Macaca mulatta: one gene and its partners. The protein of the gene in region 3 purifies or fractionates together with the protein of the main gene of each other region. This does not show direct contact. Links are inferred from orthologs where the notes say so. Each region holds a gene or a part of one and is shown on either strand. Other genes may lie near its edges.

Region 1 (3,656 bases), on a different chromosome or scaffold from region 3:
TAATTTAAAAGCAGTATTACTATATTGTGACACAAAATTTCACGTAAATTTTATATCAGTATCAGTCTGGGCATAACACACTTCTCTTAAGCATGTCATCTCATTTTCCATTATTCTACATTCCCATTTCATTAATAATCACATGATAAAAAGTAAAGATTAAAAACTAAAAAAATTACCTGTGAAATGTTTTCCCTGTATTGATCTAGTTCAACTTTCTTTCCCTTTAGTTCCTCAGTTAACTGCTCTATTTCTTCTTCTCTTTTTGTATACTCCTGAACAATCTGGCAGGGGGAAAAAAAACTTCTTTAAGATAAATCTACCAAAGTATAAAAGTATATACAATTTTGCATTGATTAAAACATTAACTGAAAATGGCAATTGTGCTGTAGTTTGTATGCAAATAATTTATGTTCTTATTACATACTGAAAGTGACATTTTTTATCCTTGAAAAACTAGACATTGCAGTATTTCAGGTTAGCCCGACTATTCTTTTTATAAAGAAAAGGCACAGAACATTGTGTTCCTTAGGAAGAATCTATTTAAAATTCTAATAGATTCAGAATCTGGCATTTAAAGCACATTGTTCCTGCTGTCTAGCTTATCATTACCAAGAGCTCTAGTACAGAGTGGGAGGCAAGTACTGGAGGGAACTCTGTGTGTGTATGTGTGTGTATGGGGAGGGTGGTGGTGGTGGTGGCTGGATGCAGAATGGGAGTAGAGAAACAGGCATACTGTAGGATTCAGTCCCGTGAAGCAGGAAGCTCTTGATCTTTCTTCAGTTAATAAAGCATCAATTTCATCCAATGTGTTTGGAAGGTCTTGGAAAACCTAAAGAAAAAAATTGCCCATCATTATAGATACAATGAAAACGGTTCCATTCAAATAGTTAAAAGAAAAATAATCTGCTGAATAAGTTATCTACTATCTGTTCTACAGCATGCTGGTACACAAGGATACAAAGGAATAATAAACAGGGTCATTTGCCTTCGAAAGTTTGTATTTTAAAGAAAACAAAATGTATGTACTGGATAACACCTTAAGGCAACGTATTGATGTTGAGTATTCAAACAAGCAGTACATATCTTATAGGCTAGGGAATTTAGAGAAAAGAAGTATCAGTTCATGCTATAGGAGAGTTAAGAGAATCCAAAGGCCTAGAATTCATCTCTGGGCCTTAAAGCAAATGGCTAGGGAGGAGCAAGGCAGAGGGAAGACAGGAGCTTGGGAAAAAAGAATGAGTACTGCATACCATGGGGAGTGAGGAGTTGTGTCCATTTGGAATGGTGGGTACTTGCTGAATTGGTAGAATGGGTCCAGAATATGTGGGGCATTGAAAGAGAGCAAGAAGTTAGAACTTTATACTGCACTTATGAAGAACTAAAAAAGCATCCTTAGTATCTAATTACTTTGACAGTTGAATTTCACCACGGTACTATCTTCTGAGTCCATGCCATGGGGACAAATTAGAACAGACACTTTTTTTTTTGAGGGGAGGCAAACAATTACATTGTTTGACTTAGCACGACCTGCAAAGGCTGTATACTACATGGTACAAAATGAATCCTGAAACCCTGAAAAAGATCTTGACATATTAATCTAATATCTTCAGCTTATTATTTTAACCTCTTAGAAAGCAGTTCAACTTCTATAGACCTTCAAATATTCCTTTGTTGAATCTCTGACGTACTCACTGAGATTTAAGCTCATGTGTCCAACATTTATTTACTCGATATCCTCACTTGACTCTAACAGGCATCTTAAATTTAAGATGGTGAAACAGAATCTGGATTTCACCCACCTTACCTACCACTTCAAGCAACCCTGTTTCTCCTTCAATCTTCTCCATTCCAGTAAATAGCACCGTAATTTGTTCGGGTGAAAAATTTAGGGGTTCTCTCTCTTATCCTTCATGTCAAATCCATCAGCAAGTCTTGCTGGCTCTGTCACTAAAAGATATCTAACATCTGTCAACTTCTCCCTCTCTCTCTTCAGTGCTATCACCCTAATTCATGCCATTATATATCTCTTGCGTGGTCCAAAGAAATGACCTCCTAAATGGTTTCATTGCTTCCATTCTTGTATCCCTACTTTATCCTCCATCTAGAAGACAGAAGTTAAGAGTGCTCTTTCATAAAAGTAGTAATGTCACTTTTCTGTTTAAGATCCTCCACTGGAGTCCATCCCAAAAGAATACAACCTTAATTCCTTGTATGGTCTAAAAGCCCTACATAATCTTGGCCTCTGCCTTCTTCTCTGCTTGGATAATTTTTAACCCCAATGAGATTCCTTTTATTCTGAAATGTCCCAAACATACTTCTGTTCTGGGCTTTGTCTAAGTTGTTTTCTCTGTCTGGAATAGTTTTCCCTCACATCTTCACTTGACTGATCTGTTCTCTTCATTCAGGACTGTTATAAAATGGTATCTTTTCAAAGGAGGCTTCCCTGACCAAGTTCCCATCCATGTCACTCCATCTCCTCACCCTGTTTTATTTTTCTTAGCATTTCTTGTTATCTGACATTATCTGATTTTTGATTTGTGTTTTCATCTACCTAATCTTCCAGACTAGAATATAAGTTTCAGCTGAGAAGGAAGTATGTCTGTCTTGTTCAATGCTTGCCATATAGGAGGTAATTAATACATTTTAATGATTAATCATCTTCTAATTTTGATTCAAAAACAGTATGACTTATCAAGAACAGAATCATGCTTTTTCTGAAAGAAAAAATTAGTACAGATTGTACTTATATTTATTTTATAACAACACAATGTATTCTGAAGATATTCTACTGTTTTTAGAAATAAGCTTCTCAATTTGTTTTAAAGATATCTACTGAGTTCCTAGTATGTATCCAAATAGTCGAATCCATTCTGTGATTCTGTGTCTGATATCATAAAATAAATCAGTTGAGGATTTGAAAATTATAATCCATTAATTTTTTTCCAGTTGTTTATATCTTTAGTAGTCATTTCATTATCTATTGAAATAGATAACATTTGAAATTAAGAATTTTAAAAAGACACACCAATACTAGATATTTTAAAATTTATTTTATAATTTCATTTTGACATTATTCTGAATAGGTATGCAGGCAAAGTATCATCCCCACTTGTCACAGAGGTATGTAAATTAACAGTGGGATGTGACTAAAGGGCAGCATCTCCTAATTTTACTGAGTGGTATGTCAGCATAAAACATATAATGGAAGTAAGACCTCTTTTTTTCCTTTTCTTATTGGCAGATGTTAGTCCTAAATATTCAGCTCCCATTGAACCCTAATTAAACACCCCAATTTCCGGGGAAACATTTTCATTTTCCCTTTATTTTTAAAATGTCCTATTTGTTATTTCTGATATACCAATTACTGGCACAATGTTTCCATGGAAAACTGTATGTTCCAACTGTACCCATTAAAAGGCATTTGTATTGGAAGAATAAATGTTATAGTACCAATAACATTGATCTGTGAAGCAACATTATTTTATATATCTATTCAGTTTAAAAATGTGGAAAAACTCCCTATTTTTTATGACACATCATATTTTTCATGGCCTGTTACAATGCTTAAGATCCTATAATCTTAAAAATATGTTAAATATGGCAATTGTAGCATTATATACTTTTTATACTTACTGTCTGGTATTCTTGAGGAA
Region 2 (3,656 bases), on a different chromosome or scaffold from region 3:
TCAGCAATTTACTTTGGCCAGGTAAAGACTTCCGGAAGATTCATTTGCAAGTTAAGAGGTGTCTAAGTAAAAGAGGTGCCAAAGTGAATTATTACGCTATTCTTGTTATTTCATCCTTTAGGTACTTAGGTTCCAGTATAGTTAGAACCAAAAGCCAAACACATTTCATAGTCTGGGCTCAATGCCTGGAAGAAAAGAGCCCATATGCTTAACACAGCTATGTAACATAGCCTACTCTTCATTCTTTGTTCACAAAATGTCTAGGACTGAAAGAGATGAAGACTGAATTATACTTTCAAATCAGAAGACACTGATCCTAAGCAGCACAGGTTGAGATGGAATAGAAAAGTAAGGCGGGCAAGTCTGGAATGAGCTCAATGAATGCTACACTGTGTTTCATATCTGTAACGGCAAGGAGAGGAAAAAAAGGAAGGAATACTCTATTATACTGGGTATTAAACAATCACTTTCTTTGCATAAATGACAGTTCAAGAAAATAATACGTTATCCAAGAAGGTACTTCCTGGACCTAGTCCAATATTTAAGTTCAAGTATTCATCAGGGCAAATGTGTGAAACCTGCAAGTACTGACTATAACAACGAAAAGTTCTTAGCATAAATTAATTTAGATACTTGGAATACCTTTTAGATTAGTCTTGTGAAAATTCATCTTTTTAACTACAGAGGGGCAATTCTCCTTGGAACAGGACAATTCTCCTTCTGACTTCTTTTTCAATTTTTTTAATGTTGAGGAACATTTAGCAAGGTTCAGGTCTCTGAAAGGAAAATTAAGAAATAAGGAAAGCTTGTTTTTCAGCAAGGCGTGCCAGCATACATTAGATGGTATTTTTTAAAAGTCTAGCCTCCTTTTAATTTAAACCCCCTTGCTCATTCAATCTTTACTGCTTTCTAATTTTAAAATTTATTTCAACTGTGTAGAAACAAATTTCAGTGCACTAATTTTCTTTTATTAGTCTTACTCCCCCAACTGCTCACTAAATTTATAAATACAAAATGTCAAATAAAGAGCAAAAGACCAGTTAAACCATATATTGACAGAGAGAATAAAGCAGAAAGCTAAGATCAAGCAGGTCTCTGCTCCCCATTCTCAGTTTCATATTCTGATTCTATTCTCTTCTTCCTCTCACAGAACTTTACTGAGTTTTATACGACATACACTTTTATACACCCTATACTTTTAGAGGTGGTTTCTCATTTTGGGAAAACTACTATTACGATATAGGATATCTCATATGACCATGCATTCTGAAATTCCATCTATATTATGGCAAAGTAGTAATTCAAATCATAGAACAAAAATTGTGTAAAACTGTATTTCATCAACAATGCATCAATAATTGGATGACCAGTTTTATTTCTTTTGGGAAGCAGAAAGAAAGCATGTACCTTGAATTACAGAAACAGAAAATGTTGATCAAATACATCTAAAAATTGAGTTTTGGTCTAATCAATATAATTCAGACAGTATCACAGATAACCATAAAGTTCAAGAAATGCATCAGAAAAAGAGCTGTACTCCAAAATAAAGCACAGCTGGGATATCAGCATCACTTACGGTAACTCCGGCAGCCCTTCGACTTGTTTTTGTTTAGTACCATTCAACATTAGTAAGGCTCTCTGAGAGTCAAAACAAGGCCGCTGTCCTATTTTCTTTGATATCTGAATCTTTCCCGACCCAAGCACACCAGTTTTCCCCAAGGCTGGTAAATAGGAATATACCTGTTGAAAAATAATATCGCATTATTTTCTCAACTACAAAAACCGCAGTAAAGAGAAATTATTTGATTCATTTCATTATTACATTTGGTTATATTTTCCTGGTTGCATCACTATGGTTGCCACTCTATCTTGGTTGAACATAATAAAATATTAAGAAAGCTAGCTTTGTGTCATAGTCAATATACCATGTGAACAAACAGAAAAATACCTTCTTAAAAATAATTATTTTTTTCTAATTCAATTTTGATCCTCATTTAAGAAAGCTCTTTTGATTAGTCTTATGCCCAATGTGTATGATTCATTTGCATATTTCATATGTATGATTTACATACAACTGGTATTTCTTAATTTCCATTTTGATAATGCCTTTTTTTTTTTTTAACAGAAAACAAGTCTTTCTTCAATAGAAAACAAAATAAGGAATAAAAACATCCTTAAAGGCAAGGATTGCTGCAAAACAGAATTTGCCTAATCTGACCAATATACGTATTTCTCATTTAATTAAAAAATTGCTAGAGCTACCGGATATTAATATCTAAAGACAGCCAAAATAAAACTGGAAAACTTTAAATCAATTGTAGCTTATATGCATAATATTTTGCTTTTTAAATACCATTTAGAATTTTGTTGGATCTAGTTTTTTCCAAAATAATAACCTCACATACGAATTTTATTAGAGAACAAGGATTTTTTTACTTTTCTATGATTAACCCTTGGCTCTGCTCAAAAGAAATTAAAATCTCTTTTTCTTTTTTTTTTTGTTGTTGTTGTTGAGACAGGGTCTTAGTATGTCACCTAGGCTAGAATACAGTGGTTATTACAGGTCACTGCTGCCTCGACCTCCTGGGATTAAGGATCCTCCCACCTCAGCCTCCCAAGTAGCTGGGACCACAGGCATGTGCCACCATGCCCAGCCAATTTAACTTTTTTTAGAGACAGAGTCTTGCTATGTTGCCCAGGCTGGTTTTGAACTCCTGGGCTCAAGGGATCCTCCTGCCTCAGCTTCCAAAAGTGTTAGAATTATAGGAAGGGGCCATCATGCTCCACCTTAAAATTTCTATTTGGTGATTATCTTCTCCAAACTGCCCCTGGAGAAGGGGTCTCACAATGTTGTCCAGGATGGAATGCAGTGGTTATGCATAGGTGCAATCATAATGCCCTATAGCTTCAAATTCTGGGGCACAAGCAATCCTCCCGCCTCAGTCTCCTGAGCAGCTGGAACTACAGGCACTCAGCACTGCCGCTGGCTTTCACTACTCTATTTTGAGATAGAAATATACTAGCTTTTATGCAGAATTGAAAGATTTATGAATTAATATATTCTGCCTACTTACCTGAAATAACCAAGAATATTTTAAAATTCAGTTTGTGGGCCGGGCGCAGTGGCTCACGCCTGTATTCCCAGCACTTTGGGAGGCCGAGGCGGGCAGATCACAAGGTCAGGAGATCGAGACCACCCTGGCTAACGTGGTGAAACGCTGTCTCTACTAAAAATATAAAAATATTAGCTGGGTGTGGTGGCCGGTGCCTGTAGTCCCAGCTACCAGGAAGGCTGAGGCAGGAGAATGGCATGAACCCAGGAGGCAGAGCTTACAGTGAGCCGAGATCGCACCACTGCATTCCAGCCTGGACAACAGAGCAAGACTCCGTTTCAAAATAAATAAATAAATAAATAAATAAATAAATAAAATTGAGTTTGTGAACTCACTTCAGAATAGAGAGGTGCTTACCATTTTCTGAAGAGAGAGTGGCTCAGAAGACACACTACCAGAGCTCTGTAGACACAACTTTTTAAAGACTGCCTCTGCAACAAACATTTGAAGCCAGGAGGAGGAAAAGGAGCAAATGAAAATCTCTAATTCCTGTGAAGAAAAGTCTGGAGAACATAAGGTAAGTCGATATAGTTACTGCTGTAT
Region 3 (3,656 bases):
CACATTATGATTTTCCCAGTAGTTTCTTTATACATTAATTCACAGCTGATTGTCCACAACCATTCTATGTGGTGGAGGGTGCAATACTATCTCCATTTCACAGATGAAAAAACTGGACCTTGTTAGTTAAGTGTGCTAGAGATTACATGAACAGTATCATGCTTGAGAGCTGAGCTCTGACCCCAGGACCTTTGACTTAGGGTTCATCAATTTTCCTTATACCTCTCATTACCTCTCCCATTTATTAAAAATAAAAATGTATTTATTTATACCTGCAGATTACTGGCATTAGGAACATCTTCATGTTTCTCATCCAAAAGCTTTGAAATAATCACTAGACTGAGGCACTGTCTCAGTTGCCTAGAATTAGAAGTTAAAAGTATTTAGAATGTATTTTAATTAATACTGCTTGAAAAGCAAATGAATGAGTCAAGAGGAGCTCTAGTTCTAATTGGAAATATAGGCAATGTTTCAAGAGAAGTCTGTACAGGAACATATAAGCTGTTATAGAACAGTAAAATTTTCATGTAAAATATTTGTACATAAAACTTGAATTATCTGAAGCTCAGTAAATCATTTAACAGCCTTATCTTTGACCCTGATGATTTACTGACAGAAAACCTATTTTTTTTTACTGATGAAATTTATTTTTACTAAAGCAAAAAAAAGCTGATTCATTTATTTTTGTGGAATATGTCATCTGTATTAAGGTAACAGATAAACTAAAATTAAAAATAAAAAAATATTCAACTTGGGTGACAGAGTGAGACTCTGTCTCAAAAAAAAAAAAAAAAAAAAATTACATAACGACCTGAGTTAAGAATTAGAGTAAGAAAGAATCAGGCTATCAATGCCTTTTCTCACAACTGAATATGAAATAAACATCTCTGATCTAACATTCAAAGAATGATGAATGGAAATAAAGAACCAAGGCATTTCATTAATCTAAAATTATAAAATTTCTTAATGTTTAATTCTCACTTTTCAATACCTTCCACGTGATGTCCAATTAGGGACCAGCTGTACTAACCACAGAAGGTTGTGGGGATGACTCGAGAGTTCATTTATGCCCAGACAGAGTTCACGCACCTGAAAAAAAAGAACATGTAAGATTTCTTTTCAAACAGAACAGTAAAATCAAACACCCAACAGATCATCTACATCCCTTCTTGCCATAATGGAAGCACTAGTACAAAATAAGGGCACACATTTTTAGAAATAGCATGGAGTCTAGAATCTGCTAAAATGTACACAATACACAGATTGTTTTACTTATACTATCTTAAATGGACTGAACAGATACATTTAGCAGAATTTCACTTGGCTTTCATGTTTTGTACTACATCATATCTTTAAACAGTCCTTCTTGGAAGGATAAACTGATCTAAACATAAATGTGTATCAGAGTTGTACAAGACTATATATATTCCTGATTTGGGATTTCTTGCACTTTAGGGATCCTATTTCAGTATTTTTAAAAGCCTAACACCTGGCTGGGTGTGGTGGCTCATGCCTGTAATCCCAGCACTTTGGGAGGCTAAGGAAGGTGAATCCCTTGAGGCCAGGAGTTTGAGACCAGCCTGGCCAACATGATAAAACCCTGTGTCTACTAAATACACAGAAATTAGCTGGGCAGGGTGGCGTGTGTCTATGGTCTCAGCTACTTAGGAGGCTGAGGCACAAGAATCACCTGAAACTAGGAGGCAGAGGTTGCACTGAGACAAGATTGCATCACTGTACTCCTGCCTGGGTGACAGGAGATGCTGTCTAAAAAAAAAAAAAAAAGCCTAACACCCCCCAAATATGTATTACCATTGTGTATCAATTTTTTTAAAAGCCTAACAGTTGCTTCAAAATAATCTGATGAGCAGGGAAAGGAAATATAGGGTCAGTTTTACATTAGACAAGATTATGTCTCAATTATTGAAGCAAAGTGATACTTAGGAATTTATTATACTCTTTGCCTTACTTCTGCCTATTTTAATTTTTCCACCAAAAAAGACTGAAAAATATAATTTTTAAAAAGTCCTAACAAAAATTATACATGTTCATCCTCCATATGGTTGCAGAAGTTCAACTCAAATTCTGGTTGTAGGTATGACTCACTCCGTCATTTCATTTAGGTCTCTGCTCCAAGGTTATTTTGGAAAGGCCTTTCCCTGACTGCCTTATATGAAATAGCATAGCATCCAGTCTTGCTGTACTCATGTCCTGCTTTATTTTAATTTGTAGTACTTAACTACTACCTGACATGATAATATAATCAACATTTACTTGTTTATCTAACCCTTTGACTAGGACAAAAGCCCCATGAAGGCAAAGGCTTTGTCTCTTTCACAGCTCAATCTCTAGCACCTACATTAATGCTGAGTCCACAGGAAATCCCCAATAAACACATTTTTGTTGGATAAAGAGCTGAAGTTTTAGAAAAAATTCAATTATCATGAATTTAAATAATACAGCTCCAGCAAACAGTCTCTTCCTCAGTTCATTTTTAATCTGCCAAAGATCTTGAGTTTAGAAACAGTATTAATTCCATATGCACTATGAGTCAAATTGTAATGCTATATAAAAAATTAATAATGAAGTTTTAAGTAACATTACCTTTGTGTTCCAATCTCTGATGTTTTTCATCAGGTTTATCAGGAGGCTTTGAAAGTCTACTAGAGGAATCTGTTTCAGCTGTTTTTCCAAACTCATTTTAAATAACATTAAAATCAGCAACATTATTTCACGATCCTGGTAACCTTCTGGATGTATAGATGTACACAAGCCTAGAAACTGTTTAACATAAATGCACAGACAAAAATATTTTAGAAGGTGTATTTTATTTTTAGGGTTTTAATTATAAACTTTTTGACAAAAGACGCAAAAAAGAACTATAAAGAAAACAAACATCAGATGTCTAGACAAAAGAAGGCAAGAACTACTTCACGTTAATAGTTGAATTAAGTGGCATTTTCTTCTCCATTTTCCATTTTTGAGATTTTCTTAATGGTTCAGTAACACTGATTCAATTCAGCAACTAAAAATGTTTCACACTGTCATTAACTTTTTTTGACCTTCTTTTTTTTGAGACGGAGTCTCACTCTGTCGCCCAGGCTGCAGTGCAGTGGTGTGATCTCGCCTCACTGCAACTTCCACCTCCCAGGTTCAAGTGATTCTCCCGCCTCAGCCTCCCCAGTAGCTGGGATAACAGGACCTGCCACCATGCCTGGCTAATTTTTTTTTTTGCGATTTTTAGTAGAGACAGGGTTTCACCATGTTGGCCAAGCTGGTCTCGAACTCCTGACCTCAGCTGATCCACCCGCCTTGGCCTCCCACAGTGCTGGGATTACAGGCATGAGCCACCGTGCCCGGCCTCTGCCATTAATGCTTGATCACTAAATTATATTGTAAGACTTCTTTCTTCATACATCCTACTTATAAAAAACTATTGGTTTCAAAACTATTTAATGATGTAACTGACCTAAAGTTCCTGTTCATCACTAATATTAAAACAACACAAAAACAGCAAAAACAATCTTTAATACAAAGATTATTGCTAAGAAATTTCAGAGACTGGAAATCACCTGGTAAGAAACTAGAGTTTTTTTTTTGAGACACAGTCTCACTCTGTTGCCCAGGCTGGAGTGCAGTGGCGTGATCTCAGCTCA

Evidence for each region.
Region 1: the proteins of SLF2 (region 3) and SMC5 purify together in Homo sapiens (affinity purification with mass spectrometry; 3 studies listed by BioGRID and IntAct, with this or other methods). This does not show direct contact. The link is inferred for Macaca mulatta from reciprocal best matches to the Homo sapiens genes SLF2 and SMC5.
Region 2: the proteins of SLF2 (region 3) and SLF1 purify together in Homo sapiens (co-immunoprecipitation; 3 studies listed by BioGRID and IntAct, with this or other methods). This does not show direct contact. The link is inferred for Macaca mulatta from reciprocal best matches to the Homo sapiens genes SLF2 and SLF1.

Annotation. Positions count from the first base shown.
Region 1 is NC_133420.1:101,360,232-101,363,887, reverse strand, and holds part of SMC5 (structural maintenance of chromosomes protein 5), read right to left. Parts: coding exon 3,637-3,656; intron 1,299-3,636; coding exon 1,254-1,298; intron 833-1,253; coding exon 737-832; intron 285-736; coding exon 180-284; intron 1-179. UniProt on the Homo sapiens protein: Core component of the SMC5-SMC6 complex, a complex involved in repair of DNA double-strand breaks by homologous recombination.
Region 2 is NC_133411.1:101,055,147-101,058,802, reverse strand, and holds part of SLF1 (SMC5-SMC6 complex localization factor protein 1), read right to left. Parts: intron 3,617-3,656; coding exon 3,471-3,616; intron 1,741-3,470; coding exon 1,577-1,740; intron 777-1,576; coding exon 643-776; intron 1-642. UniProt on the Homo sapiens protein: Plays a role in the DNA damage response (DDR) pathway by regulating postreplication repair of UV-damaged DNA and genomic stability maintenance.
Region 3 is NC_133414.1:113,006,610-113,010,265, reverse strand, and holds part of SLF2 (SMC5-SMC6 complex localization factor protein 2), read right to left. Parts: intron 2,782-3,656; coding exon 2,605-2,781; intron 1,090-2,604; coding exon 992-1,089; exon of another isoform or gene 982-991; intron 361-981; coding exon 273-360; intron 1-272. UniProt on the Homo sapiens protein: Plays a role in the DNA damage response (DDR) pathway by regulating postreplication repair of UV-damaged DNA and genomic stability maintenance.